Linked DNA regions of Anolis sagrei. The protein of the gene in region 3 interacts with the protein of the main gene of each other region in a pairwise test. Links are inferred from orthologs where the notes say so. Each region holds a gene or a part of one and is shown on either strand. Other genes may lie near its edges.

Region 1 (10,714 bases), on a different chromosome or scaffold from region 3:
CTCCACTACACTCCAGGGCAGAGAGTTTCACTGCTGAACAGCTCTCACAGTCAGGAAGTTCTTCCTCATGTTCAGGTGGAATCTCCTTTCCTGTAGTTTGAAGCCATTGTTCCATTGCGTCCTAGTCTCCAGGGCAGCAGAAAACAAGCTTGCTCCTTCCTCCCTATGACTTCCCCTCACATATTTATGCATGGCCCTCATCGTGTCTCATCTCAGCCTTCTCTTCTGCATGCCCAGCTCTTTAAGCCTCTCCTCATAGGGCTTGTTTTCCAGACCCTTTTTAGTCACCCTCCTCTGAACACATCTGGGCAAAGGAAGGAGAGATCATTAGTGCTAGATCTACACTCATTTTCAGAATGCAGATTATTGCATTGAATTGGATTATATGGCTGTGTAGACTCGTATAATCCGGTTCAAAGCAGTTAATTTGAATTCAGAAACTGGTTTATATGGCAGTCTGATTGTGAAAGCTGTTCTGCAGCGGAATAGACATTGAAATCCACCTTTGGAGGTTTTTAAACAGGGTTTGGATGGCCATCCTTCTGGATTTCTTCAGCTATATGTAGCGGCATGGCGGCAAGGGTTGGTCTAGATGGCCTTTGGAGTCCCCTCCAAGTCTATAATTTGAAATTTGTAGAACTGCACTCAACCCCTCTCTTTTTCCCCCTCTTTCCCTCCCTCTCCTTTCGTTTGTTCACTTGCTTCTCTCTTTTCTAGGTCAGCTTCTGCAATCCGCCCCCGGCAAAGTGGAGACCAAGGAAGGGAGCTGCCGTCTGTCTTTTAATGTTCAATTTGTCTGAACGCATCAGCGGGGGAATAAATGGAAGGAGGCAAACCCCATCCATTCCATCCTCAGACGCAAGATGGGATCTATCCCTCCAGGGCAATGTGTCAAAGCCAGGATGGAAGTCACACGCGTCCCTCCAGCAACCCAAAACTGACTGATGGGAGCCTCCTTCCAAAATCCAAGGATTGTTGTTGTTTGCTGCGTGTTTTCAAGTTGTGTTTGACTTAGGGTGATTCCATTGAGAGGTTTCCCTGGTAAGATGATTTCAGAGGAGGCTCACCATTGCCTTCCTCTGAGACTGAGAGAGTGTGACTTTCCCATAGACACTCAGTGGAGTTCATGGCTGAGTGAGGATTTGAACCTTGTTTACAAAGGGTTATCATCATCATAATCACCATCATCCAGCTTTTATCTCAGTTGAGATACAGAAGGCAGGACCTACACTATCATATAATACAGGAAGGGTTAGGAAGGGGAGGAAGGAAGGAAGAAAGGAAGGAAGAGAGGGGGAGGGAGGGATGGAAAGAAAGAAGGAAAGAGAGAAGGAAGCATGGAAGTAAAGAGCGAAGGAAGGAAGGAAAGAGGTAGATAAGGAAGAAAGGAGAGAAAGAAAAAGGAACAGAAAAAAGGGAGAAGGAAAGAGGTAGAGAAGGAAGGAGAGAAGGAAAGAAAAAAGGAAGGAAGGAAAGAGGAAGCAAAGGAAGGAGAGAAAGGAAGAGAGAAAGACAGAGGGAAGGAAAGAAAGTAAGAGCTAAGGAAGGAAGGAAAGAGGTAGAGAAGGAAGGAAGTGGGAGGGAGGGAAAGAAAGAAAGAAGGAAAGAGAGAAGGAAGCATGGAATCAAAGAGCAAAGGAAGGAAGGAAAGAGGTAGAGAAGGAAGGAAGGAGAGAAGGAAAAAGGAACAGAAAAAAGGAAGGAAGGAAAGAGGAAGCGAAAGAAGGAGAGAAAGGAGGAGAGAAAGACGGAGGGAAGGAAAGAAAGTAAAAGAGGAGGAAGGAAAGAGGTAGAGAAGGAAGGAAGGAAGGAAGGAAGGAAGGAAGGAAGGAAGGAAGGAAGGAAGAGGGAGGGAAAAAAAGAAGGAAAGAGAGAAGGAAGCATGGAAGCGAAGAGCAAAGGAAGGAAGGAAAGAGGTAGAGAAGGAAGAAAGGAGAGAAAGAAAAAGGAACAGAAAAGGGAGAAGGAAGGAAAGAGGTAGAGAAGGAAGGAAGGAGAGAAGGAAAGAAAAAAGGAAGGAAGGAAGGAAAGAGGAAGCGAAGGAAGGTGAGAAAGGAGGAGAGAAAGATGGAAGGAAGGAAAGAAAGTAAGAGAGAAGGAAGGATGGAAGCAAAAAGCAAAGGAAGGAAAGAGGTAGAGAAAGAAGAAAGGAGAGAAAGAGGAAGGAAAAGAAAAAGGGGGAAGGAAGGAGAGAAAGAAAGAAGAAAAGGGAAGGAAAGAGAGAGTGAAGGAAGGAGAGAAAGAAGGAGAGAAAGAGGGAGGGAAGGTTGACCACAGCAATGCGTGGCAGGTACAGCTAGTCTGAAAATAAGCAGCAACAAATACAAACCTATTTTGATAATTAAACCTGTGTTACTTTAAGTTAAGTTTGTCTTTGTCTTGATGTACTTTCAGTGACTGTATTGCACTATTAATATCAAGTCAATACAGAGTTCATGGCATGGTACAATATGGGGTATGGTATTTGTTACACCTATTTTTAATAGCAACTCCCAAGCAACCAGAAACTACATGTATCCAGCACCTATCATTCCCCATGGTTGCCTGTTAACTGAGAGTCTATGTACATCTGAAAAGAATGGTCCAAAACAGCATCATAATGGCACTACTTGGAAACAGCATCAATAGCCAACAATAGGGTCATGGATAGTATTTGTATCACTGATGGTCCATCATTCAATCCATCTGTGTATATTATATGTGCCTTCATGATGCCTGTATTTATGGCAATTCCATGAATCTCAGAGGGTTTTCTTAGGGAAGGAATATTCAGATATGGTTCTGCCAATTCCTTCTTCTGAAATATAGAACCTGATATTCATTGGCAGTCTCCCATCCAAGCACTAACCAGAGGTGACCCTACTGAGCCTCCAAAACCAGACAGGATTTGGAGTATTGTAGGATACTTAGCATTTAATAAAAGTGATAGCCCAACCCCACCTTGCTGCTGTCAATATCTGTGTATTGATTTCCAGATGCATTTGAAGTCAAAATGCGCAAGAGACAAGAGTCTAGCAACCCAAACACCCCTGCTGCCTAGCAAATTAGGAGGCGGTGTTTTGATTTTCAGATATACTGGGAAAACATACATTTCTAAGTCGAGTCTGGTTGCAAAATATGGGACAACCCCAGCCCACCACACTTCCTGATGTCTTGGAAGGGGGAACTGATTTCTAGAAAGATAGGCACAGTGAGAAAGATAACTATAAAGCTACATGCAGTTTGCAAATCGTCTGGAAAGGGTCTGCTAATTGGTTTTCAGGTACGTTGGAAAGAGACAAATCCCTGGAGACAAGGAGTTGGCACCTTGAAAGTCAGCGACGCACTAAGAGTGCATCTATACCAGGTATGTGCAAACTTTGGCCCTCCAGGTGTTTTGGACTTCAACTCCCACAATTCCTAACAGCCTACCGGCTGTTAGGAATTGTGGGAGTTGGAGTCCAAAACACCTGGAGGGCCAGAGTTTGCCCATGCCTGATCTATACAGTTGAATGAATGCAGTTCAACACCATTTGAGCTGCCATGTCCAAATGCTATGGAATCATGAGATTTGTAGCTCAGCACCAACAGAGAAGAGAAGGCTGCAGACCTTGTAAAACTACAACTCCCATTGAGCTATGGCACTTCAGGTGGTGTCTAATTGCCTTTATTCTACAGTATAGATCAGTGTTTCTCAACCTTCCTAATGACACGACCCCTTAATACAGTTCCTCATGTTGTGGTGACCCCCATCCATAAAATTATTTTTGTTGCTAATTCATAACTGTAATTTTGCTCCTGCTATGAATCATCATGTAAATATCTGATATGCAGGGTGCATTTTCATTCATTAGACCAAATTTGGCACAAATACCCAATACATCCAAATTTGAATACTGGTGGGCTTGTGAGGTTGGGGGGAGAATTGATTTTGTCATTTGGGAGTTGTAGTTGCTGGGATTTATAGTTCACCTACAATCAAAGGGCATATTGAACTCCACCAGTGATGGAATTGAACCAAACATGGCACACAGGACTCCCACGACCAACAGAAAATACTGGAAGGGTTTGGTGGGCATTGACCTTGAGTTTTGGAATTGTGGTTCACCTGTACCCAGAGAGCACTGTGGACTCAAACAATGATGGATCTGGACCAAACTTGGCATGAATACTCAATTTGCCCAAATGTGAAAACTGGTGGAATTTGTGGAAAATAGACTTGACATTTGGGCGTTGTAGTTGTTGGGATTTATAGTTCACCTACAATCAAAGAGCATTTCGGTTTTGATTATGCTTTCTTGCCCTGGTGAAGGGAGTTGGACTGGATGGCCTTAAGACAGCATTTCTCAACCTGGGGGTTGCGAGGGGATGTCAGAGGGGTCACCAGGTACCACCAGAAACACTGTTGGTCATGGGGGTTCTGTGTGGGAGGTTTGGCTCAATTCTATCGTTGGTGGGGTTCAGAATGCTCTGTGATTGTAGTTGAACTATAAATCCCAGCCACTACAACTTCCAAATGTCAAGGTCTATTTTCCCCAAACTCCATCTGTGTTCATATTTGGGCATATAGAATATTTGTGCCAAGTTTGGTCCAGATCCATCATTTTTTGAGTCCACGGTGCTCTCTGGATGTAGGTGAACTATAACTCCCAAACTCAAGGTCAATGCCCACGAAACGAGGGGATGAGGAGCAGGGCCTTCTCGGTGGTGGCCCCTCACCTATGGAATTCACTCCCTGGGGAAATTAGATCATCGTCATCCCTCCTTTCCTTTAGAAGGAAATAAAAAACATGGATTTGGGACCAGGCGTTTGGGCAATCTGCCAGATAAATAAAGGACAACGACGACTGATAGGAATGGAAAATGTGGAATGAAGTTATGGACTCTGAGTTGCGAACGTTGAGCATAAGATTGTTTTTTTATTGACTGTGATATATATTGATTGTTTTTAACTGTTAAAACTGTTTTAATTGCTGTCTATTTTTTATCTGTATTACTGTGTAGGCCTCGAATTTTGCCTTTTTGTAAGCCGCCCTTAGTCCCCCCTTGGGGGTTGAGAAGGGCGCGGTAGAAGTACACGAAATAAATAAAATAAATAAACCCTTCTAGTGTTTTCTGTTGTTCGTCATGGGAGTCCTGTGTTCCACATTTGGTTCAATTCCATCATTGTTGGAGTTCAGAATGCTCTTTGATTGTAGGTGAACTATAAATCCCAGCAACTACAACTCCCAAATGACAAAATCAATTTTTTTTGAGTGAAGGACATACATTGGATTGTTAGGTGTCTTGTGTCCAAATTTGGTGTCAATTCATCCAGCCGTTTCTGAGTTATGTTAATCCCACAAATGAACATTACATTTTTATTTATATAGATTGCTAGCCTTAAGGAGAGGCAGGTAGTGAGTAAAATTATTATTGTTATCATCATCATTAGCATTTCCATGAACATTGCTAGCATTGCGGAGAGAGAAATGCTGAAAACCAATGGGGAAGGAGATATATTTTTGTTTTAACAAAAACCACTGGATGAAAACTAACAAAATGAAGTTCAACAGTTCAACAAGTGACCCCTTGCCACTTTGGCAGGAAAAACGAAATGCAAAGATACAGAATGGGGGAGCAGTACATGTGAAAAAGATCTTGGAGTCCTTGTGGACAACAAGTTAAACATGAGCCAACAATGTCATGTGGCGGCAAAAAAAGCCAATGGGATTTCGTCCTGCATCAAGAGGAGCATACTGTCTAGATCTCGGGAAGTAATGCTACCCATGCTCTATTCCGCTTTGGTGAGACCACACCTGGAATATTGTGTCCAATTCTGGGCACCACAACTGAAGAGAGATACTGACAAGCTGGAATGTGTCCAGAGGAGGGCGACTAAAATGATCAAAGGTCTGGAGAACAAGCCCTATGAGGAGCGGCTTAAGGAGCTGGGCATGTTCAGCCTGAAGAAGAGAAGGCTGAGAGGAGATATGATAGCCATGTATCAATATGTGAGAGGAAGCCACAGGGAGGAGGGAGCAAGCTTGTTTTCTGCTTCCCTGGAGACTAGGACGCAATGGAAGAATGGCTTCAAACTACAAGAGAGGAGATTCCATCTGAACATGAGGAAGACCTTCCTGACTGTGAGAGCCGTTCAGCAGTGGAACTCTCTGCCCCGGAGTGTGGTGGAGGCTGCTTCTTTGGAAGCTTTTAAGCAGAGGCTGGATGGCCATCTGTCAGGGGTGATTTGAATGCAATATTCCTGCTTCTTGGCAGAATGGGGTTGGACTGGATGGCCCATGAGGTCTCTTCCAACTCTGTGATTCTATGATTCTATGCTGCACCCAGCCTTAAGGAGAGTATGGCAAGGAATCAAACCTGTTGTTGTTATCCTTGCAAGGACTGCTGGGAATCATTGGCAGGCTTTCTGCAGGGAGGCAGGGCAGTGCCTTCCTTGGGCAAGCCCTCTTTCCCTCCCTCTCTCTTCCCAAATGCTGCTGCCTTCTTCTCTGCTGCTGGGCGAACCCCCTTCAGGAAGGGAAATTCCCCAGGTGAGTGTCAACAGGAAGTTGTGCAAGGCGCTCACCTGGGCGCTCAGGTCACCTGGGAAGGTTTAACTCGGCGCAGGCAGAACGAGAAGCAGCTGCTTCAGAGAAGAGACGAAAGGAGGAAAGGAGCTCCTGTTTTCTCTCTCAAGAAGGTAAGAAAGCTCCCTTTCTTTTCCTCCATTGCTGCCCACGTTGCAGATTGTCCTGCCAACTGAGGAGCCATGCCAGGCAGGCAGAGATGCAACAGGTAGAGTTGCATCTACCTGCCCTCTCTTTTGAACTCCCAGGATCATTTTTTCTTACTAGCTCAAAACTCCGATTCCCATTTTCCCCCTTTCCCCAGCTATCAGGTCTCCAAGAGCTGCATGACAGGTAGAAATCCAACAGGTAGGGTGCCTGCTTTCTCTTTTCAACTCCCAGAGCATTTTTCTTAGTTGTGCATGGCTTCTATTCCTCTTTCTCTCCTTTCTTTGGCTATCAAGTCTCCAAGAACTACCTGGCAGGTAGAAACTTAATAGGTAGAGTGATTGACCTCTCCCTCTTTTAGACACCTAAGTCACTTTTTTCTTAGTGGCAGAAGGCTCCCATTTCCTTTCCCCCTACTTTCCGGATTATCATATGTGGCAGGCAGAAATCCAACAGGTAGACTGACAACCCTCTCTCTTTTAGATACCCAGGTCTTTCTTCTATTCCCTTCTATTCCCATTTTCCCATGCTATCAAGACCCCAAGATTTGTGTTGCAGGTAGAAATCCAACAGGTAGGGTGCCTGCTTTCTTATTTCAACTCCCGGATGATTTTTCTTAGTAGTGCATGGCTTCTATTCCCCTTTCTCTGGCTATCAGGTCCCCAAGAGCTGCCTGGCAGGTAGAAACCCAACAGGTAGAGAACTTGACCTCTCTCTCTTTTAGACACCTAGGTCACTTTTTTCGTAGCAGCAGAAGGCTCTCATCCCTTTCCCCCACCATTTTCCGGATTATCATGTATGGCAGGCAGAACTCCAACAGGTAGGGTGGCAACCCTCTCTCTTTTAGACACCTAGGTCTGTCTTCTTAGTTGTGCAAGACTTCTATTCCCATTTTCCCATGCTATCAAGACCCCAAGATTTGTGTTGCAGGTAGAAATACAACAGGTAAAGTGCCTACTTTCTTTTTCAACTCTCAGAACATTTTTCTTAGTAATGCATGACTTCTATTCCCCCTTCCCTGGCTATCAAGCCCCAAAGACCTGCCTGGCAGGTAGAAACCCAACAGGTAGAGTGCTTCACTTCTCCCTCATTTAGACGCCAAAGTCACTTTTTTCTTAGGAGCAGAAGACTCCCATTTCCCCAACTTTCCAGATTATCATGTCTCCAAGAGCTGTGTGGCAGGCAGAAATCCAACAGGTAGGGTGGCAACCCTCTCTCCTTTAGACACCTAGGTGTGTCTTCTTAGTAATGCAAGACTTCTATTCCCACTTTCCCTCGCTATCAAGACTCCAAGATTTGTGCTGCAGGTAGAAATCCAACAGGTAGAGTGCTTGCCCTGTATCTATTTTCAAAGATGTCCTAGGTCATTGGTTCTCATAGAAAGCTGGAAGAAAATACAAGTTTTTGGACACTTTCAAAACTTATTGGCTTATTTTCACCTATGCTTGTCTCTGAAAAAAGGGCAAAAGCTTTGATTTAAGGTTAGCTTTTAAGGTGCCACGAAAGTCCCCATACAATAATAATAACAATAATAATAATAATAATAGAATACAGAAATAATAATAAAATCCCCTTTTCCTTCCCTTTTTGTCCCATACCCAGTAGAGAAGGGCAGAGAACTGTATGGCCTTCGGAAATATAGGGACCGGAACCCAAAGTATTCCTCACAACTGGCTCTGCTGGTCAGGGATGATGGGAATTGTTGTCCAAGGACATCTGGAAAGCTCCAAGATTCCTTCTCATGATAGATGGAGGGCCAACAGAAAAATGTAACTTTTCTTTTGACGAGAACACAGGATCGTTGGATTGAGTTAGGAATAATCGCTCAAGACTTAAGGGATCATGGGTTGCTGTGAGTTTTCTGGGCTGTTTGGCCATGTCCGAGAAGCATTCCCTCCTGACGTTTCACCCACATCTATGGCAGGCATCCTCAGAGATTGTGAGGTCTGTTGGAATCTAGGCAAGTGAGGTTTATATATCTGTGGAAGAATGTCAAGGGTGGGAGAAAGAACTCTTTGTCTGCTTGAGGCAAGTGTGAATGCTGCAATTGATCACCTCGATTAGTATTGAATAGCCTTGCAGCTTTAAGGCTTGCCTGCTTCCTCTCTGGGGGAATCCTTTGTTGGGAGGTGATTAGCTGGCCCTGATTGTCTGGAATTTCCCTGTATTTGAGTGTTGTTCCTTATTTACTGTCCCGATATTAGAGTTTTTAAATACTAGTAGCCAGATTGTGTTGATTTTCATGGTCTCCTTCAAAGAGTTGGAAGAGACCTCATGGGCCATCCAGTCCAACCCCATTCTGCCAAGAAGCAGGGATATTGTATTCAAATCACCCCTGACAGATGGTCATCCAGCCTCTGTTCAAAAGCTTCCAAAGAAGGAGCCTCCACCACTCTCCGGGGCAGAGAGTTCCACTGCTGAACAGCTCTCACAGTCAGGAAGTTCTTCCTCATGTTCAGATGGAATCTCCTCTCTTGTAGTTTGAAGCCATTGTTCCATTGCGTCCGAGTCTCCAAGGAAGCAGAAAACAAGTTGCTCCCTCCTCCCTGTGGCTTCCTCTCACATATTTATACATGGCTATCATGTCTCCTCTCAGTCTTCTCTTCTTCAGGCTAAACATGCCAGGCTCCTTAAGCCGCTCCTCATAGGGCTTGTTCTCCAGACCCTTGATCATTTTAGTCGCTCTCCTCTGGACACATTCCAGCTTGTCAATATCTCTCTTGAATTGTGGGGCCCAGAATTGGACACAATATTCCAGGTGTGGTCTAGATGGCTGGGAGGACAACAGATGGAGAATATACACTTCCCAGAATAGGGCCTGGATTATCATATGTGAAAAAGAAACTGCATTTTTCCCCTGGGTTATATTGACTGCGTGCCAGATTCTCCACCAAGAATCACTTTGTGATTAGCATACATATAAAAAACTATAATATTTTGGTTTTTTTTCCAAGTGTTGTATCACTTGATTCACTATCCAGACTCAGATTTTAAAAAAAAATAAGGATTACTAATGCTTTACAAAAAATACTGCATAAATAATGTGGATTTTGGAGGTCTCCATTAGTGACGATATACATGAATTGGAGAATATGGTTAAGGAAGATGTTGTGTGCCTTCAGGCCCCCTGTCAACATATTGATTGTGTTATTGTGATTGTGTTTATTGGAATGTTATTTTGTTACTGTATTTGGTTTTTTTCTTTTTATGTAATTTTGATGATGTTGCTTGTTGTTTATGTTTTGGTTTTATTTTGCTGTAATATGTTGTCTGGGCTTGGCCCCATGTAAGCCTCTCCAAGTCCCCATTATTATTATTATTATTATTATTATTATTATTATTATTATTTGGCTGTGGATGGTGAGATCCGGACTTTGGATACCAGAACCCAAAGGCGCGGATACCAAGTCTGTTAGGCAGCCGCCAGAACCGGTCTACAGCCAATATTCCAGGTGTGATCTACAGCCAAAGCAGAATAGAGGGGTAGCATGACTTCTCTAGATCTAGACACTATGCTCCTATTTGGCCTGCATCAATAGGAGCATAGTGTCTAGATCTAGAGAAGTCATTCTCCCCATGCTCTATTCCGCTTTGGTTAGACCACACCTGGAATATTGTGTCCAATTCTGGGCACCACAATTCAAGAGAGATATTGACAAGCTGGAATGTGTCCCGAGGAGGGCGACTAAAATGATCAAGGGTCTGGAGAACAAGCCCCATGAGGAGCGGCTTAAGGAGCTGGGCATGTTTAGCCTGAAGAAGAGAAGGCTGAGAAGAGATATGATAGCCATGTATAAATATGTGAGAGGAAGCCACAGGGAGGAGGGAGCAAGCTTGTTTTCTGCTTCTCTGGAGACTAGGACGCAATGGAACAATTTCTTCAAACTACAAGAGAGGAGATTCCATCTGAACATGAGGAAGAACTTCCTGATTGTGAGAGCCGTTCAGCAGTGGAACTCTCTGCCCCGGAGTGTGGCGGAGTCTCCTTCTTTGGAAGCTTTTAAACAGAGGCTGGATGG
Region 2 (10,698 bases), on a different chromosome or scaffold from region 3:
ACAGTTTCTGGGAAAAGGGGGAAAGCTACTTACGAAATGTCACCAACAATGATTTTGAACAGGAAAATATTGGGAAAGATAAGGGTTAAACATTCATTCTTAATAATTCTCTCTTGAAATGGCTTCTCAGTTTGAAAAAGACTACAGTTAGACACACTGTTATTTCTCCTTTGGGACATCAGCATCAAGTCTGGCTACTAGTCAGCTTTAAAAACAGTCTAAAAATAATTAATTTATTGGTAAAATAAACATTTTTTCAGCCTTTTGAAGGATGTTGTCAAATACAGACTCTTTAATATAGAAACGTTGAAAGTGTCCACATAATCCTATACAAACAAAGTTGAGCTTTGACTGCCAAAGCAATAGCTCTACCTTGTGACGGAATGATGTGACTGCTGCTTTTGTCCTAATAGTTTCACTTTACATATGTAGTAAATTGTACCATGATGAATATTAAGATTTGTTAATAGTTTATATGTGGGATAACCAAACCTATGTGTGGATATGCATATCCAGACAATGGTATTTTTTTTTAAAAAAAGAGAGAATGGTGGGGGCTATCATTCACAACAATTATTAATTACATGCAAAACAGATTTAACTGAAAGTGAGTAAAATTCAGTTCTATTGAATGCTGTCAGAGCTCACATAGTAAGGCTCCCAGTTCTCCAGTAATTGGGCTACTGTGAGTTTTCCGGGCTTTATGGCCATGTTCCACAAGGCTTCTCTGCTGACGTTTCACCCATATCTATGTCAGGCATTGTCAGAAGTTGAGGGGTCTGTTGGAAACTAGGTAAGTGGGGTTTATATATATGTGGAATGTTTAGGATGGGAAAAATAACTCTTGTCTGTTTGAGGCAAGTGTGAATGTTGCAATTGGCCACTCTGATTAGCATCTAATGGCCTTGCAGCTTCAAAGCCTGGCTGATTGCTGCCTGGGGGAATCCTTTGTTTGGAAGATTAGCTGTTGTGGATTTCAGTGGCTTCTATGTATAGTCCGACGTTGTAGTTGGTAATTGTTAGGCAGCAATCAGCCTGGCTTTGAAGCTGCAAGTCCATTAAATGCTAATCAAGGTGGACAATTGCAACATTGACACTTGCCTCCAACAGGCAAGAGTTCTTTCTCCCACCCTGGACATTCCACAAATATATAAACTCCTCTTGCCTAGTTTCCAATATACCTCACAACCTCTGAGGATGTCTGCCATTGATGCAGGCAAAATGTCAGGAAAGTTCTGGAACATGGCCATACAGACCAGAAAACTCACAGCAACCCCATGATTCCAGCCAGGAAAGCCTTCGACAATTCATCAAACATCTCCAGTAATTGGTAACATGGATTTTCCAAAAGGGTTTTGGCTATTATCTCTAATAAGGAACAGTCAAATAATTATATAGATTGGGAAAACTGGATAAAAATAGGGAGCAACAACATCATTATAGTATTTGTAATGGAGTATAGTAGTAGGCAGCAGGTTTCTAAAGACATGTACCAGAAGGAACTGTTTGGTTTATTCATAAGTGAATTTGGGTCAGAAGTAGAAAGTAAAACAGAGTTTTAGTTAGCAAGCGGATAGTAGAGCATAACTCAGAATGGTAGAATCTGGAAAAACCTGAAAAGAACTTTAAATGAATCTGTCTGTCTGGAGACTGAGCGATAGCAGTACAAATGTAGCTCATTGTAAACAACTGCCATTCATTCGTTTTATTGCATTTTCTTTCAGGGCGATAAATAAGTCAAACATGCTAATCAAATCGATTCAACATGTGCACGACTTACTGCAACAGCTGTGAAGGGCTTGGTTCCAAACGTTTTGGCAGCAACACAAATAAAACTTTTAGATGGCTAACACAAGGACTCAGATCAGCACATATTTTGCAGTTTCATCCAGCTACACAGCCTTCAACTCGTTATACTACTTTCTTTTGGAGACAAGACCATAGAAAAGTTATTTTCTTTTAACAACTGCCTGACTTCCTCTGCTAAATTGGCCAGTGTCACAATGTCATGTGGTCCAACCGGTAACTTTTCTAATACGGTGCCAGAAGGAAACTCTTAGACCTTCATGTTGTCATTCAAATTTGACTTCACTCTTTGATTTTTTTTTTTCATAAAAAGAGGGTGTTTCTACACCAGTATTTCTCAATCTTTCTAATGCCGCAACCCTTTAATACAGTTCCTCATGTTATAGTGACCCCAACCATAACATTTTTGTTGCTACTTCATAACTGTAATGTTTCTACTGTTATGAATTGTAATGTAAATATCTGATATGCAGGATGTGTTTTTATTCACTGGACCAAAACTGGCACAAATACCCAATACACCCAAATCAAAGAGCATTCTGAATTCCACCAACAATGGAATTGAACAAAACTTGGCACACAAAACTCCCATGAGCAGCAGAAATTACTGGAAGGGTTTGGTGGGCATTGACCTTGGGTTTTGGAGTTGTAGTTCACCTACCTCCACAGAGCACTATGAACTCAAACAATGATGGATCTGGACCAAACTTGGCCCAAATACTCAATATGCCCAAATGTGAACACTGACAGAGTTTGGGGGAAATAGACCTTGACATTTGTAAGTGCTGGGATTTATGGTTCACCTACAATCAAAGAGCACTCTGAACTCAGGCTACAATGGATCTGAATCAAACTCTGAACACCACCTACATGGTCAACATTGAATACTGGTGGGATGGGGGGGGGGGCTGTTTTTGAATTCTGGGAGTTGTAATTAACCAACACCAAAAAAGAAGAGAAGGACAGGTGGAGAGATTTTCAGCCTTCTCTGGCAAAGAGGTTAATAAGACCATCAGAAATGTGTTTTCCTCACACACACACACACACACCCCCGGGGTCCTGACCCCCAGGTTGAGAAACACTATTGTACACTATGAAGTTTGATGTCACTTTAACTGCCATGGCTCAATTTTATGGAATCCCAGAAATTGTTGTTCGATGAGGCTCCAGCACTTTGACTGAGAAGGCTAAAGACCTTGATAAAACTACAAGTCTCTGCATTCTACAGCATTAAGCTGTGGCAGTTAAAGTGCTGTCAAAATACTTTATTTCTACAGATGTAGATGCACCCTGGGGCTGTCACTACAAGTTCACATCAGTCTGGAGAAAGAAGCAACTATCCACACTACTGAATCATAGAGGAATTATTATTATCATCTGCCTTTTCCTATGAGATGGGGGAACCATTAAAATCTGACACATAACATCAGTTTAAAAACACATGTTCTTATAAACACATGATGTTAAGTAAAACCAAAAGATACTAAAACAATCAGTCCATCCTTTAAACTTCACAATTTGAAAATAATCGGGATATGCCTTCCAGATGAGACTGGTCTTTCATCCTGTTTTAAATTCAGACAGCGGATGCAGCTGTCAAATCTCTTCCAGCAGATCATTCCACAGTCTAGGGGCAGATGAAGAAAAAAAAAATATTTGGATGACAGTTGCTAACCTAGTCCTGGCTGATTGAAGCAGATGTCCCCCATATTATATGGGCCTGATCCATGGGTCAAATTATATGCGAGGATAAATGCTACAGGGTGACTCTTGCAGTGGCAAAATTCCTTGCAGTGGCAACAAGACTGAGAAAGAAAGAAACCTCCAATAGGGGTATGACTTGAAACAATGCAGATGTATCTGATATTTGGTAGAATGAACTTCTGAGTTGTGAGAATTTAGAAATGATTGTCTGTTTCACTGATGGGTCTATGGACCATAATAAATATTGTTGTTTTGTTGTTATATGCGATACAGTAGGTAGGTAAGCTATCACATTAGCTTCCATGGCTCCAGCCTAGGGAATCAGGAGATATACAATTTAGGAAGGAAATTGTTTGATTGTTATAGAGCTCCAATTCTCTTGAACTGCAGCAGAAATTCAAGCTTCTCTCTCCAAACTGCATATCCCAGGATTCCCTCAGGCTTTATCTACACTGCCATATGAAATCCAGATTCGAACTGATTTATATGACAGTGTAGACTCATAATTCAGTTCAACGTTGATAATCTGGAATCAGACACTGGATTACAGGCAGTTCCTGAGTTACAAACATCTGATTTACAAATGATTCAGAGTTAAGAACGGGGGTTTATTTATCATGTCAGGAGCAGACCAAACAATTGTGTTGCATTTTTAACAAACAAAACATAAAGTTTGCAAGCTGGCAGAGGTGGCCCTAGCCCGCCCCCCCAACCAATCACTGATATATATTTTCTGTTCGTTGTGGGAGTTCTGTGTGCCATATTTGGTTCAATTCCACCATTGTTGGAGTTCACAATGCTCTAATTGTAGGTGAACTATACATCCCAGTAACTACAACTCGCAAATGTCAAGGTCTATTTTCCCCCAAGAGTGCCTCAAGAGCGCCCCTGGGCAAAATCAACTATACTGCAAATGCTTACTTTGTGTAATGGGTTGAGCCGCCCCTGCAAGCTTGGTAGTTGATTAAATGTCCTTTGACCAGTAGCTGGCCACTTGGAGTGCCTCTGGTGTTGCTGCAAGAAGGTCCTCCATTGTGCATGTGGCAGGGCTCAGGTTGCTTTGCAGCAGGTGGTCTGTAGTTTGCTCTTCTCCACACTCGCATGTCGTGGATTCCACTTACTAGCCCCATTTCTTAAGGTTGGCTCTGCTTCTCGTGGTGTCAGAGAGCACCTTCCAAGTCGCCCAGTTTTTTGTGTGTCCAGGGGGGAGTCTCTCATTTGGTATCAGCCATTGATTGAGGTTCTGGGTTTGAGCCCGCCACTTTTGGACTCTTGCTTGCTGAGGTGTTCCAGCGAGTGTCTCTGTAGATCTTAGAAAATGATTTCTTGATTTAAGTCGTTGAGGTGCTGGCCGATATCCAAACAGGGGATGAGCTGGAGATGTCACTGCCTTGATCCTTTCGGGGGTGCAGCCGGGGGTGAGACAACAGGAAATGAGAGAAATCTACCAATTGCAACATTCATACTTGCCTCAAGCAGACAAGAGTTCTTTCTCCCACTCTGGACATTCCACAGATATATAAATCTCACTTGACTAGTTTCCAACAGACCTCACAACCTCTGAGGATGCATTGATGCGAGCAGGAGGGAATGCTTTTGGAACATGGCTATACAAACTCACAGCAACCCAAAGCTCCAGAGAACTTGATCATTACAGAAATGGATGCTGGTGCTGTCCAAGCCTAGGACTGTGGGAGTTGAAGTCCAAAACACCTGGAGGAAGGGCTGAAGTTTGCCCATGCCTGATGTCGATGCCCTGCTTAGGAAAGAGGGCGGGACCAGAGGCATGAGTGGCAGCCGGCTTTGGTCGCAACCTAGTTTCTCTCCTGGGAAGCGCTTGCTCGGTGGGTAGCCCTGGGAGGCAATCAGTTGCCAGTTTGCAAGCGGGAGGCGGAGCTCAGGACTGATGCAATCCGGCCTCGTGTTACCGAAGGCTTGCCAGATTTCCCCTTCTCGCTTTCGGTTGACACACGGATGAATTGGAGGCGTGGAAGTCTCCTGCCAACTGCTCTTCTAGTGCGGAAGCAATTGTGTTCCTCCTCCTCCTCTGAGCTCAGGTAAGAAAGGGATAGCCTTTTCAATACTAATAATGGTAGTAATAATATATTATCTCCCTCCTTGGATCATTTTGTCTCCATGTAAGCTTTCGGTATCCTTTCTATTCCCAAACTTATGAGTTTATGCCTCTTAGGACAGTTTATTCCCAAACTCTGGGCTTCCACAGGTGCATGTCTGCACTGTAGAATTAATGCGGGTTGATATCACTTGAACTGCTCTATGGTATGAGAATGATCCAGGGAATTCGATGAGGCACCAGAACTTTGCAAAGAAGGCGAAAGACTTTGTCAAACTGCAGTGCCCATGATTCCATAGCATTGAGCCAGGGGCAAACTTGGGCCCTTCAGGTGTTTTGGACTTCAACTCCCACAATCCCTAACAGCCTCAGAACCCTACTTTTTCCCCCTCAGCCGCTTAAGCGGCTGAGGGGGAAAAAGAAGGGTTCTGAGGCTGTTAGGGATTGTGGGAGTTGAAGTCCAAAACACCTGGAAGACCCAAGTTTTCCCATACCTGCTCTACAGTATAATTTACTTTCTCCGCATCACAGGAAAGGTGGAGGAAAGCTACACCTGTTGAATTCCTTGCAGTCCAGTTTTCCAGTTCTTTTTTTAGTGGGATAACTAATACACTTGGTAAGGAATGGATATTGGAACCTGACCTGTAGCCCGAACTTCCTAGCATATGCTATTATAGTGCTCTTATTCCACTCCAAATGCCATGACAATATCCTATGGATTTAGTGATGCCCAAGACCTGTAACGCCACCAAGACCATTAAATGCCATTGCCTCAACCACACATCGCAGGACTCCAGATACTGTTGCTGTGTCAGTTAAAGTGGAATAATAACACTGTAACAATACAGCGCCATAGGTTACTTCGACTCAAATAGCGTGTTACTTAGACGATCCCTCATTGTCCGAGTAGGATTGTCTTCCAAGATCTGTGTACTGGTGGTAGGTCTGTAGGTGACTGTGGAGCCCTATTCTTGATCTGCATCTTCTCCCGCAGTGAGGGCATTGGTTTCCAGATGGAAGGCGGTCCCGGTCAGTGTTGGCTTGACACGACTTCCTCTTGGCATGTTTCTCTCTTTCGCCCTCCATTCGTGCCTCTTCAAATTCTACAGCACTGCTGGTCACAGCTGACCTCCAGCTGGAGCATGCAAGGGCCGGGTCTTCCCAGTTCTCAGTGTCTATGCCAGAGTTTTTAAGGCTGGCTTTGAGCCCATCTTTAAATCTCTTTTCCTGTCCTCCAACATTCTGTTTTCCATTCTTGAGTTAGGAGTAGAGCAACTGCTTTGGGAGACTGTGGTCGGGCATCCGGAAAACGTGGCTGGTCCAGCGGAGTTGATGGTGGATGACTATCACTTCAGTGTTGGTGGTCTTTGCTTCTTCCATCATGTCCGCTTGTCTTCCCAAGAGATTTGCAGGATTTTTTTTTGGAGGCAATGCTGATGGAATTGTTCTAAGAGTTTCATGTGACATCCGTAAACAGTCCACGTCTCGCAGACATATAGCAGGGTTGGGAGGACAATAGCTTTATAAACAAGCACCTTGGTATCCCTACGGATGTCTCGGTCCTCAAACACTCTTTGCTTCATTCAGAAAAATGCTCACAGAGCTCAGGCAGTGTTGTATTTCAGTGTCAATGTTGACTTTTGTGGAAAGGTGGCTGCCAAGGTAGCGGAAATGGTCAAAATTTTCTAATATTACTATTACAAATAGTGTGTAATGTGTCAATTGCTAAGTCATTGAGCCCAGGAAGACATTTCTATCCAGTTCTTCACAGCTGATTTTCTCTGTTGGGTTGCTGTGAGTTTTCTGGACTTTATGGCCATGTTCCAGAAGCATTCCCTCCTGACGTTTCACCCATATCTATGGCAGGCATCCTCAGAGGTTGTGAGGTCTGTTGGAAACAAGGCAAGTGGGGTTTATATATCTGTTGAATGTCCAGGATGGGAGAAAGAACTCTTGTCTGTTTGAGGCAAGTATGAATGCTGCAATTGATCACCTTGATTAGCATTGAATAGTTTTTCAGCTTCAAGGCTTGGCTGCTTCCTGCCTGGGGGAATCCATTGTTGAGAGGTGTTAACTGGCCCTGATTGTTTCTTGTCTGGAGTTCCCCAGTGTTTGAGCTTTGTTCTTTAATTACTGTTATAATTTTAGAGTTTTTTTAAATACTGGTAGCCCAGATTTTGTTCATTTTATGGTTCTTCTTTTCTGTTGAAATTGTCCACATGCTTGTGGATTTCAATGGCTTCTCTGTGTAGTCTGACATAGTAGTTGTTAGAGTGGTCCAGCATTTCTGTGTTCTCAAATAATATGCTGTGTCCAGGTTGGTTCATCAGGTGTTCTGCTATGGCTGACGTCTCTGGTCGAATTAGTGTGATGTGCCTTTCATGGTCTTTGATTCATGTTTGGGCAATCCTGCGTTTGGTGGTCCCTATGTAGCCTTGTCTACAGCTGCATGGTGTACGGTAGACTCCTGCAGAGGTGAGAGGATCCTTCTTGTCCTTTGCTGAATGTGAAGTGTAGATCCGCTGGTAAATGTGGTCTCTGGAGCAGTAAAAAAATAAGCTAACTTCATTTTCTACCATTATCCCTCCTTGTTTACAGATTGAACTTTTGCACATTGGATTTTATTGATATGAACTTTTTAGGAATCTCTGGGATCTTCATTTCAATTCTGTGGCCAACTTCTACTCAAACTTGACCATAGAGTCTGCTTGGAAGTCCTAGAAATTGCTAGAGAAGTGTTCTCTCAGGTTAAAAAGTCATTTTATTTCCATTTCCAATAGGCTCCTGCATCCCTAATGTGAAGAGGTGACTGTATATGACATTCTTTCAGATATTGGAAGATGATTGTAATTCTACTTCTCTTTTTCAAGCTAGACATATCCAGCTAAACATATCTGTTTACAAATCTTCAATCCTCTTAATAAATAAATAAATAAATAAATAAAAACTTTATTTATATCCCATCTCCCAAAAGGGACTCAGGGTAGCTTACAAGACACTGCAAGTGTAGTATATAATATAAACGGTACATGAGTATAAAAACAATATCACATAAAAGTTATAAAAACAACCACTATTAATACATAAAATAAAATAAAAATACAGTTTAAAACTCAGACCAGCCTTTAAATCACAACTAAAGTGCCAAAGTGTCTGCCTCATATAGGCCCATTTCAGCTTACTCGAGGCCAAAACCCTGCTTTGTGGTGGCTTTTTGAACAATGGTGTTTAGAATTGGACACTGTATTTCAGTTGAGCTCTGATTAAAGCAGAATAGAGTGGCTCTACTATTCCATGATCTGGACACTAGACTTCTGTCGGTACAGCTTACTGTTGCATTTGCTTTTTTCTTTTGGTCACCGCATCACGTTGCTGTTCTTGTTATTATTTCTTCTCCAACAGCCTTGAATCTACATCATCATGTGTGGCATTTGGGCTCTTTTTGGGAGCGATGGATGCCTCTCTGTTCAGTGTCTGTGTGCCATGAAAATAGCACACCGAGGCCCGGATGCTTTCCGATTTGAGAATGTCAATGGATTCACCAACTGCTGTTTTGGCTTCCATCGTCTGGCAATTGTGGACCAGCTGTATGGAATGCAGCCTCTACGAGTGAAGAAATTTCCCTACTTGTGGCTGTGTTACAATGGAGAAATCTATAACTACAAGCAGGTAAAAATCCCCTAAAGCCTCTTATAAGGAACTCCTTTTCTAGGACTTGCTATGACACATTTTCCTCGTGCCTCTCTTGTCTTAGTAAAATCCTTTGCATGTTCAACCTGTAATTTCTTTAGACCATGCTTGGACAATCTGCATCCTTTGTCCTGGTTTCCAGAGCTGTCTGTAAGCTGTCAGATCCCTGATGAGAGGATGGGGCTGGGGAAGTAGAGGGGGAGACAATGGGGAAGGAGGATAGTGTACCCATTATGGGTTTGTGTTGGCTTTGGTCTCACCCATTAAGGGCTTGTGGTCCTGAGGTTATCTCAAAAAGGAGTGCATCTATCTACAAAAAAGAGACATTCCACTCCTTTCTATGAAGACTCTTAGGCCACCATGAGGCTTTAGGTAACTGGACAGAAAAACGTATAAAAGAGACCAAGGTCCCATCCACAGAGCTGAAAAACTCCCACATTACCTGCTTTGTACTGGAGTTTATGTCATTGTGGACTCAGATAACCCAGTTCAGAGCAAACATTGTGGGAGTTTCTGCCTTGATATTCTGGGATATAGGGCTGTGTGGAAGGGCCCTTAGACCTGAGAGAGGCTCAGTGAAATGGCTAAAAAACTGGGGGCTAAGATCCAATAAAAATGGACTTCAGTGAAGAGTTGAGGATTTCTCTGCTGTTCAATGTCTCACCACAACAAAAAGTCAGAATTGTTAAGACTACACAGGAAAATGTAGAAGTTTGCAGGAATAATGAGAGTCATCTCTGGGAGCAGGCCTTATGACAGACATTTTTGGTTATGGGGATAGAAATTGAATCTAATATTGGTTCCAGGTAGTGGAGACTAACAAATCCTATTCATTTCAATGGCTTTATGCTACCATGTGGTAGTGATTTGCACAATCTGGAGATCAGGATTGGTCCACTGTGGAAAGTAGTTTTGTGCATTTGTATAGTATCACTACCTGTTTCTGTTTGTTTCATTTGTATGGCCCTGTTTTCATTTTCAAGCACCACTTCTGAAAATGGGTGCCTTTCCGAATGGGCGTTTTTGTGCTGTATCTCAAAGAACAAACATTTTTGGACCATTGGCAGCAATGGGAGGGCTTCCCAGGCTCCCTCTCCCTTCAGTTTTAGGGCTAGAGGGGTGAAAATCACCACACATGGAGGGCATATATACCACTTTTAGCCCACCAACTTGGTCAAACCCCTTTGAAGGTGACACTACGACACCTTTTCCCAACCCTTTGGCTGTTTTTTAAAATGTATTACAGATGTGATTTAACTATTCCTGGAAATGCAGTGATTTACAAGGCAGGCCAGGAACAGAGATAGAGAGAGATTGAAGGTTTGATAGAAAGATAGTGGTTTTCAAAGGTGGGGAAATTATTCTACAATTACTTTCCTTTGAAAAATAATGATTTTTTTTTAAAAAATACCCTGAATAATGTG
Region 3 (11,067 bases):
AAATAATATAATAATAATAGAAGCTATATAAATAAAAATGTAATGTTAGTTTGTGGAATTAACATAACTCAAAAACCACTGGATGAATTGACACCAAATTCGGACACAATACACCTCTCAGGCCAATGAGTGACCATAAACTCATAAAAACTGAAAAATACAGCGGAAGAGTCTTAAAAAGCCAAATAAAATACATTACAACACATGTACAAAACCACATATATATACACAAACACCCATATATACGCATATATTCAAATATATATACACACACACATACACATATATACACACACAAAACACATATACACAGACTAGGCCACAGCAATGCGTGGTAGAGGATGGCTAGTAAAACTTCATTGGAGACGTATGGATGTGGCCGACACCGGCACAATTAGCCAAATATGAGTATCAGTTTCTGTGGGGGAAGAGGGTTGGCAAGGAAAATGACTCAAGGTTGCTTCAGATATCATCTCCGTTACAGTGGGAAACCCATTCCTGGACTAGATGTTCCCTTGACCTGATCCAGCAAAGAAATTCACTTTGTGTTCTCCTTTGATCTTGGCAATCCCTCGGTGATCTTCTGCTGCCCACTCAAGTTTGCTTTGGTCTTTTGGAAGAAACTCGCAGCTTGCATCTCACTAGCAATTCCACTTTCGCAACTGAGATCTAAAAATCTTATCAATTCACTGCTGTGACGGTTTTACCATGGAATATATACACCAGCTCCGGACAGCTTTGGGCAGCTCTCAGGTACCACTAAGTTGGCAATGGAAGACCCAATGCTAATACATAACCTGGTTTTAAGTTATCCTCAGGCTCCAGATTGGTACAATGTTGGGGGTTATAAGAGCCCCCAGTGGTGCAGTGGGTTAAACTGTTGATTTGCTGAATTTTCTGACCAAAAGGTTGGTGCTTTGAATCTGGAGAGCGGGGTGAGCTCCTGTTGTTCGCTCCAGCTTCTGCCAACCTAGCAGTTCGAAACATGCAAATGTGAGTAGATCAATAGGTACCACTCCAGCGGGAAGGTAACGGCGGTCATGCAGTCATGCGAACCACATGACCTTGGAGGTGTCGCACCTCAGAGTAGAACCACCTTGCTTATGACACCAAAGAACACACCAGCAGTAGTCTTTGTAGTTTTATTAAAAGAAAAGATAAAAGGTTCAAAAAGCAAAAGTATATTTCAAAAGATCAATCCAAAGTAACATAGGCAAACAAGATCCATGAAGGCATAGGCAAGGCAAGGTCCCATGAGAACATGACGAAGTCCTGAAACATGAGCATGAAAAGCTGCAAGATAAATCCAAAGTCTCTTGGTTGAAGCGTGAAGTTGCTCTGACACTGAGGCACATTCAAACAGTCTGTTTAATCCTGGGCCAGGATGAAGGCGTTCCTATGGCCTCGGGCCTCTTTCTCTCTCTCGCCTTCCGGTGATCCTGACACTCCTTTGCACTTTCAATTCCAAGCGATCAACTCTATCTAAACCACCGGCCCCATCGAAGTCAAATCCCTCATTAGCTGGCTGAGAATGATCCTCCCTTCCTACATTCCTTCATCAGGCACCTGGTTCTCACTTTCAGTAGTTTCACTTTCCCCAGCGTCAACCCTTGCTGTGGGAAACAAATGAACTCCTGCCCCCTGGTCCTGGTATCCTCGTCTAACACAGGAACATCCTTGCTTTGCATCTGACTCTGAATCTGAATCTCATCATCTCCATCAGAATCATTGATACCATCACTCTGTGATTCAAGCTGAGTCACAACAGGAGGTGTCTAAGCTCTTCGGCTTAGAAATGGAGATGAGCACCAACCCCCAGAGTTGGACATCACTAGACTTAATGTCAGGGGAAAATCTTTACCTTTACCTGAGAATTATAAATTCAAGTACCTTTCATAGCCAAAATTAGACTAAGCCCATTTATGTTGGAGGGTACCCATCAGAAGATTTTTTTTGCTCATGGCTCTTTCAGGCCATCCTGGACTCCTCCCCTCTCCACTTACAGGTAGGCATCCAAGGAGGAAAAGATCCCAAACTTCCATATGTTGAGAACAGAGGTCACTTAAGCTGCATCAGCAGAGACAATAGTAAGGTGTGACACGACTTCAAGTCCCAGGTGTGGAGGGCTGTGTGTTTCCACATTGCCTGTGTGCTTTGGAGATATCTAGAGTCAAATAGAGGGAGAAAATGTGGAGACAATGGCAAACTTTGTATTTCTAGGTGCAAAGATGACTGCAGATGCAGACTGAAGCCAGGAAATCAGAAGACATTTCCTTCTTGGGAGGAGAGCAATGACCAATCTCAATAAAATAGTGTAGAGACATCACACTGGCAACAAAGATCGGCATATTTAAAGCAATGGTATTCCCCGTAGTTACCTATGGATTTGAGAGCTGGACCACAAGGATGGCTGAGCAAAGGAAGAGAGATGCTTTTGAACTGTGGTGTTGGAGGAAAATTCTGAGAGTGCCTTGGACCGCAAGAAGATCCAACCAGTCCATACTCCAGGAAATAAAGCCAGACTGCTAACTGGAGGGAAGGATAGTAGAGGCAAAGATGAAGTCCTTTGGCCACATCATGAGAAGACAGGAAAGCTTAGAGAAGGGAATGATGCTGGGGAAAATGGAAGGAAAAAGGAAGACGGGCCTACCCAGGACAAGATGGAGGGATGGCATCCTTGAAGTGACTGGCTTGACTCTGACGGAGCTGGGGGAGGTGACGGCCAACAGGGAGCACTGGCCTGGTCTGGGCCAGGAGGTCACAAAGAGTCGGAAGCGACTGAACAAATAAACAACAACAACAGAGTCAATCAAATCTTATTACAAACTAGCCGTCCCCTGCCACACATTGCTGTGGCCCAGTCTGTGTATATGTGTTTTGTGTGTGTATATATGTGTATATATTTGTGTATATGTATATATATGTGTGTATATGTGTGTATGTGTGTGCGTGTGCCTGTGAGACGTGGACTGTCTACAGATGTCACATGCAACTCCTGGAATGATTCCATCAGCGTTGCTCCAGAAAATCCTGCAAATCTCTTGGAAAGACAAGCAGACAAATGTCAGCATGCTGGAAGAAGCAAAGACCACCTGCACTGAAGCGATGGTCCTCCGCCATCAACTCCGCTGGACTGGCCACGTTGTCTGGACGCCTGACCACCGTCTCCCAAAGCAGCTCTACTCTTCAAGAACGGAAAATGGAATGTTGACGGGCAGGAAAAGAGATTGAAAGAAGGGCTCAAAGCTAACCTCAAAAACTCTGGCATAGACACTGAGAACTGGGAAGCCCTGGCCCTTGAGCGCTCCAGCTGGAGGTCAGCTGTGACCAGCAGTGCTGCAGAATTTGAATAGGGAAGAATAGAGGGTGAAGGAGAGAAACATGCCAAGAGGAAGGTGCATCAAGCCAACCCTGACCGAGACCGCCTGTCACCTGGAAACTGATGCCCTCACTGCAGGAGAAGATGCAGATCAAGAATAGGACTCCACAGTCACGTACAGATCCACGGCATACTACACACTGACCCTGGAGGACCATCATCCTCAGACAACGAGGGATCGCCTAAGTAAGTAAGGAAATAAAGTGTATGTGTGGTTTTGCGCATGTGTTGTAATGTATTTTTATGGGATTTTTTGCTTTTTAGTCCCTTCTGCTGTGTTTTTCAGTGTTTTAATTAGTGATGGTCATTCATTGGCCTGAGATGTGAATTGAGGCCTCACTTCAAGATCTTTGTCATTCAGAGAAAGAGCGGAAAAGAATCATTGGAAGCCAGGTAGAACCTTCAGGAAAACAATTGGCCAGTGGCAGTTATGTCATAGGATTCTAAAGCTGCCTAATAGAAAGGCAGAGCTGGAAGGAGCAGCTTGGACAAGGTTAGCTCAAAAACAGAGGTGAATCTGTAAGAAATGGACTAGGGGGGGAAAAGGACCGTCTAGAAAAGGATAAGGACTTGCTTGGACAAGGCTAGCTCAAAAATAAAAGGTGAGTCAGTAAGAAATGAACAGGGAAATAAACAGGAACGCAAAAGAGGAGCACTCTCAGCCTTACTATGAAAATATTTAATAACTAGCTGTACCCACCATGCTGTACCCTCTTTCTCTCCTTCCTTCATTCCCTCTTTCCTTCCTTCCTTTTCTTCTTTCCTTCTCTCCTTCCTTCTCTACCTATTTCCTTCTCTCCTTCGCTTTGTTTCCATACTTCCTTCTCTCTTTCCTTCTTTCCTTCCCTCCTTCTTTCTCTCCCCCTTTTCCTCCTTTCTTCTTTACCTCTTTCCTTCTTTTGCTTTGTTTCCAGCCTTCCTTCTCTCTTTCATCCTTTCCTTCCCTCCTCCTTTCTCTCCTTCCTTTGCTCCCTCTTTCCTTCCTTTTTCTTCTTTCCTTCTCTCCTTCCTTCTTTACCTCTTTTCTTCCTTCCTTTGTTTTGTTTCCATCCATCCTTCTCTCTTTCCTTCTTTCCTTCTCTATTCCTTCCCTTCTTTCCTTCCTTCGCTTTGTTTCCATCCTTCCTTCTCTTTCTCTCTTTCCTTCCTTTTTCTTCTTTTCTTCTCTCCTTCCGTCTCTACTTCTTTCTTTCCTTCCTTTGCTTTGTTTCCATCCTTCCTTCTCTTTCCCTCCTTCCTCTTTCTTCTTTCCTTCTCTCCTTCCTCCTTTACCTCTTTCCTTCCTTCACTTTTTCCATCCTTCCTTCTCTTTCCCTGTCTCCTTTCTTCCTTTTTCTTCTTTCCTTCTCTCCTTCCTTCTCTACCTCTTTCCTTCCTTCCTTCGCTTTGTTTCCATCCTTCCTTCTCTCTTCCCTTCTTTCCTTCCCTCCCTCTTTCGCTCCTTCTTTCCCTCTTTCCTTCTCTATCTCCCTTTCTTTCTTTCTTTCTTTCTTTCTTTCTTTCTTTCTTTCTTTCTTTCTTTCTTTCTCCCCTTTCTCCCCTTTCTTCCTTCCCTCCCTCTTCCTTCCCTTTTTTTCTGCATTGTCATTTAGCTTTTTGTCATTTAGCTTGTTTTGATTTTTAAGTCCTTTCTGCTGCTGGTTTTCTTTGGGGAGGGGGGTTATGAGTGATGGTCACTCATTGGTCCATTAGGGGTTTAGTGTCCAAATTTCATGTCAATTCATCTAGTGGTTTTTGAGTTATGTTAATCCCACAAACAAACATTACATTTTTATTTATATAGATGTTGCTGAACTCGGTCTAAACCAGGATTAGCATCTAGCTCATTTCTGATGCTAATAATTCTGGCCACACTTTTCCAATGTAATATTAATGCCAAATGCCCAGATAGATGGCTGACAATCTCTTTAATTCAAATCCAGGACAGATACTTAATTGTCTGGGGTGTCTTTAGGCTCTTTCCCACCCACCATAGAACATGAGAATAGTACTTCTAGCATATCTCAGCCCCAAGCAATAGTTACCTATCAATAGACAAATGGCAGTTCCCAATTTTCATGACTTATTTTGTAAGCTTACTTAATGTATTTTCTACCTTGCCATATAGATTATAGATAGCTGCTCTTTGTTTCTTACATGATTTAAAAAAAAATTGCATGTGTTATTATTGTTCTGTATCACATCAAAATCTTCATATGGATTTGCAATTAAATACATAAACTGGGGAGAGGTAAGAAATAGTTTTAAGATAGTCCCATGTCCTCGCATGGGAAGGTAGAGCTGATAGATGGGTGCTCACCCTGTCTCACAGATTCAAACCGCCGACCTTCAGACTAGCAGTTCAGCCAGCACAAGGGCTTAACTCATTGCGCAAACGTGGCTCCATATGTCAAACGACATACGGCAGCCATACTCCTGTCTACAATTTCTTTACATGAGTATCAATCATTATTACGAGGGTTGAATGAAAATTAATGCCTCCACCTTCATAACTCCTCAACAGATGGCAGTACTGGTATGCGGCAGGTATTGGTTTGTTCAGTAGACTCTCCTCTACAGTTCCATTTTGACAGGAAGCCTTAGCATTGAACAGTTGTGTTGTTAAAGTGCGAAGTATGGAACCCTGCGCAGACAGTCGGTAAATATGACTTAAGCAACGTGTAGGCATTGAATTCTTGACAGCAGAAGATGCCACCTCAACATCTTCAAACTTACTTGCCCAGTGACACACAATACTCACATCAACACAGTCACCATAAACAACTTGCATTCTCAGATGAATCTCCTGTGGGGTGACACCTTCAATGACTGCACGTTGCTTAAGTTGCATTGACCGACCGTCTGCGCAGGGTTCCATACTTAGCACTTTAACAACACAACTGTTCAATGCTAAGGCTTTCCACCAAAATGGAACTGTAGAGGAGAGTCTACTGAACAAGCCAGTACCTGCCGCATAGCAGAACTGCCATCTGTTGAGGAATTACGAAGGTGGAGCCATTACTTTTCTGCTAAGGCTTCCTGCCAAAATGGAACTGTAGAGGAGAGTCTACTGAACAAGCCAGTACCTGCTGCATAGCAGTACTGCCATCTGTTGAGGAGTTATGAAGGTGGAAGCATTACTTTTCATTCAACCCTCGTATATTTCAAAGTTATGAAAAACACTTCTACATTGACATAAAGATTGAACTTTAATTCCACTCCTTTTTTCCCCTTGACAGAGCAGCAACTTTAAGCATTTTCTTTCTGAGACCATGTCCACCTCTACCAGCAAAAACCCTTCCACGTCCTCCTTTGTTTCAATCCACGAAAGACCAATCTTCCAGGGTCCTTCCGATACGTCATGGGAGCTGCATGCGGATGATTTCACCAAGGAATTGTCCTGCGGTGTGTGTCTAGAACTGTTCAAGAACCCGGTTATCCTGTCCTGTGGCCATAACTTCTGTAGGGATTGCCTAGAAGACTTATGGAAGAAAAAGGGCATCTTCTGTCCACAATGCCACGCGAGTGTCCCCGATCGAAAGTACATCTCGAACACCGCCCTGGAGAAGATGGCGGATAGGATTAAGACCTACCACGTGGGGTGCCTGCAACAGAAGTGCATCGAACACAGCGAGCCGATGACTCTCTACTGGAAGACGCAAGAAAAACTCGCCTGCTTCACCTGCCGGGAAACTCTGCTACCCAAAGAGCAATGCACACAGTTCCTTCTCATTCCAGATGCTGTACAGATCTTTACGGTAACTCTCATGCCATCACCAGTCTATATAAATAAAAATGTAATGTTCGTTTGTGGAATTAACATAACTCAAAGACCACTGAACGAATCACTGCCATATTTGGCCACAAGACACCTACTCACCCAAGGAGTGACCATCACCCAAAAAATTGGGTTGTTGTAGCTTTTTCGGGCTATATGGCCATGTTTTAGAGGCATTCTCTCCTGACGTTTCGCCTGCATCTACCTCAGAGGTAGTGAGGACTGTTGGAACGAGGAAAATTGGTTTATATGTCGGTGGAATGACCAGGGTGGGACAAAGGACTCTTGTCTGTTGGAGCTAGATGTGGATGTTTCAACTGACCACCTTGATTAGCTTTTGATGGCCTGGCAGTGCCTGGAGCAATCTTTTGTTGAGAGGTGATTAGATGTGCCTGATTGTTTTCCCTCTGCTGTTTTGCTGTTTTAATTTTAGAGTTTTTTAATACTGGTAGCCAGATTTTGTTAAGGAGGAAACCATGAAAATGAACAAAATCTGGCTACCGGTATTAAAAAAATCACTGAGAAGGCCCTGTCTCTCGTCCTTGCCAAACGCGCCTGTGATGGTGGTGGGACCGAGAGCAGGGCCTCCCCAGAAGATCTTAATCTCTGTGGTGTTTCATAGGGGGAGATGCATTCGGATAGGTAAATGGCCGGGGCCATTTAGGGCTTTATAGGCCAAAGCCAGCACTTTGAATTGTGCCCAGTAGCAAACTGGCAGCCAGTGGAGCTGGTGTAACATGGGAGTTGTGTGCTCCCTGTACGCCGCCCCAGTTATTAGCCTGGCTGCCTCTCACTGGACTATTTGAAGCTTCCGAGCAGTCTTCAAAGGCAACCACACGTAGAGGGCGTTGCAGTAATCTAACCTAGATGTGACAAGAGCATGGACCACCATGGCCAAGTATGAATTTCCAAGGTATATAAGCAGTATAGATAGATAGATAGAGTAATGGAATTATTATTATTATTATTATTATTATTATTATTATTATTATGAATGTATCCTAGGCCAAAAAAACACCAGGAAAGCATCCACCTAATAAAGATTCTCTAGAATGCCTATCTATCTATCTATCTATCTATCTATCTATCTATCTATCTATCAGCAGTATAGATAGATAGATAGATAGATAGAGAGAAAATGTAATAGAATTATTATTATTATTATTATTATTATTATTGATAATAATAATATTTTATTTATACCATGCCACCATCTTCCATAGGGACTTGGTACGTCTTATATATAGCACACATGATGCCACACCACACATAAAATACAGTATATCAACATTGAAAACATTAAAAATACAATAACATATTTAAAACCAAACATATAAAATTGACAGAAGTTAAATATAGAATTATTCATTGAATGTCCAAATTGAAAATGTTGATGTCACTATTTTACTTAGGTGTGATGACTTACCTATTCTATAACATTCTTTGTGACTATTTACCCACAGGAAAAGTTGCTCATGATGAGAATTCAGCTCAGATCCATCTTGGTGAAGTTGGAGGTGTTGAAGAATGCCCAGGAAGAAAAGATCAGTAACCACAAAGTGAGTATCATTGATTCAGTAGATCTCTACTTGAATATCTTACTGTTGAGTATTTTAGGTGATGGAAACTTGTGTTTTGTACTTCTGAAGCAAAGGAACACACTGGGGACATTATCACCTGAAGCTGTCAGATGTTGGCTCCCTAGATTAAAAAAAAAAACCAACTTACCACCACATGACATTACCCTAAACCAGTGATTCCCAATCTTTAGTCCTCCAGGTGTTTTGGACTTCAGCTCCCACGATTCCTAACAGCTGGTATGCTGGCTGGGACTTCTGAGAGTTGAAGTCCAAAACATCAGAGGGACCAAATGTTGGCCTAAACCCACTGAAAACCAATCTTCAAGGTGTGTTGAGTAAACAAAAATTGTATTTCCCCATTTTCGGCTCCTGAATTATTATTCAGAAAACTTTAGAAAGCAATTTCTGCCATGCAGTATCATGAATGAAATGCAAAGATACAGAAAGAGGGACATGTGGCTCAAAAGCAGTATGTGTGAAAAAGATATTGGAGTCCTCGTGGACAACAAGTTAAACATGAGCCAACAATGTGATGCGGTGGCAAAAAAAGCCAACTGGATTTTGGCCTGCACCAATAGGAGTATAGTGTCTAGATCTAGGGAAGTCATGATACCCCTCTATTCTGCCTTGGTTAGACCACACCTGGAATCACACTGTGTCCAGTTCTGGGCACCCCAATTGAAGAGAGATATTGACAAGCTGGAATGTGTCCAGAGGAGGGCGACTGAAATGATCAAGGGTCTGGAGAACAAGCCCCATGAGGAGCGGCTTAAAGAGCTGGGCATGTTTAGCCTGAAGAAGAGAAGACTGAAAGGAGACATGATAGCCATGGATCAAGATGTGAGGGGAAGTCATAGGGAGGAGGGAGCAAGTTTGTTTTCTGCTGCTTTGGAGACTAGGACACAATGGAACAATGGCTTCACACTACAGGAGAGGAAGGAGATTCCACCTGAACATGAGGAAGACTGTGAGTGCTGTTCAGCAGTGGAACTCTCTGTCCCGGAGTATGGTGGAGGCTCCTTCTTTGGAGGCTTTTAAACAGAGGCTGGATGGCCATCTGTCAGAGGTGCTTTGAATGCAATTTTCCTGCTTCTTGGCAGAATGGGGTTGGACTGGATGGCCCACGAGGTCTCTTCCAACTCTAGGATTCCATGATTCTATGAATCCACTTCAGTGGATTTTGTGGATTTGATAATTCATGGATTTGATTAATATGTGCTCTATAGGAATCATTAGGTCCTCCGGTGCAATTCTACAGTCAACTTCCAACAGAGGTTGACGATAGCGTTGCATGGGAAGACCTAGAAATTCCTAACGAGAACACTTCCTAAATATTTGGAGGTCTTCCAGTGGCCAAAGTTGACAATAGAGCTGCTGTAGAGTATTCAGAGGATGTTTTATTTGCACTTGTTCAGCTTTTATGAGGTCTCTGCCCACTTAACTCCAGCAAATGTGGAAGGCCCATTGTAGTATCTATCACCAGTCCTGCTTGCGTAATCTAATTACTTTTCTTATTTCCAGGAGAACAAATTGCAGCTCCAGTACCATATCTCCTTGGAATTCCTAAAATTGCACCAATTTCTTCATAGCAAGGAAAAGGAGTTAATCAACCAGTTAAAGGAAGAGAGTGAAATCCTGCTTCAGGAGATGGAAGCGAATATTAACAGACTCCAAGACCGAACCCAGAGTGCTAAGGATACTCTGGTTTGCATTCAGGCCCGGCTGTACCAGCAGAATTCGGCTAGCTTCTTGAAAGTAAGAATTCGAAATGCAGTCTCGCTCTGGATTGATCCCAGAGTGTCACAGACACTAGACTGGCCACTTCCTTTCACTTGGTGTTAGAAAACACCTCACATTAAAAAAGAGAGTTAACTGAGACCATATATATGATCTATGAATGCATATATAATTTCAGCATAGTCCTAGTGATATTGTACAACTATTTATTTTAAAAGGCAATTTTCACACATTTTTTCCTTTTTTCTCTCTGACAGGGAATCAAGGTTTTTATAGAAAGGTAAGTACTGGTTAATAAGAGGGTCTTCTCAGGTTGCATCTACACTGCAGACTTAATGCAGTTTGACATCTTTTAACTGCTTTGGTTCCAGTCTATGGAAACCATTCTTTTTGATATGAATGTTTCAACAGAATGGCCTCAAGATTATTTATTTTCCATAGAAGGCTTTTTTTTCTTTTTAAGAGAGAAAGAGAGAAGGTAAGTTGTAAATTAGTAATAGCAAGTTAATATTTTGTCATTTGCAAAGTATGGTATGCATATGGTATGAGGAAATCAAGGAGTGGTTCATAGTAGGTGAGCAAAATTATTCTACCTATTCATCCCATATGAAGAA

What was found.
Region 1: the proteins of TRIM69 (region 3) and FAM110A interact in binary tests that used the Homo sapiens proteins (3 or more experiments, as listed by UniProt). The two-hybrid records come from large-scale screens. The link is inferred for Anolis sagrei from reciprocal best matches to the Homo sapiens genes TRIM69 and FAM110A.
Region 2: the proteins of TRIM69 (region 3) and ASNS interact in binary tests that used the Homo sapiens proteins (3 or more experiments, as listed by UniProt). The two-hybrid records come from large-scale screens. The link is inferred for Anolis sagrei from reciprocal best matches to the Homo sapiens genes TRIM69 and ASNS.

The regions. Positions count from the first base shown.
Region 1 is NC_090024.1:240,804,932-240,815,645, forward strand, and holds the start of FAM110A (protein FAM110A), read left to right. Parts: upstream 1-6,503; 5' UTR 6,504-6,661; intron 6,662-10,714.
Region 2 is NC_090026.1:100,056,464-100,067,161, forward strand, and holds the start of ASNS (asparagine synthetase [glutamine-hydrolyzing]), read left to right. Parts: upstream 1-5,339; 5' UTR 5,340-5,567; intron 5,568-8,986; 5' UTR 8,987-9,004; coding exon 9,005-9,253; intron 9,254-10,698.
Region 3 is NC_090029.1:25,770,123-25,781,189, forward strand, and holds the start of TRIM69 (E3 ubiquitin-protein ligase TRIM69), read left to right. Parts: upstream 1-6,630; coding exon 6,631-7,116; intron 7,117-8,599; coding exon 8,600-8,695; intron 8,696-10,237; coding exon 10,238-10,471; intron 10,472-10,710; coding exon 10,711-10,733; intron 10,734-11,067.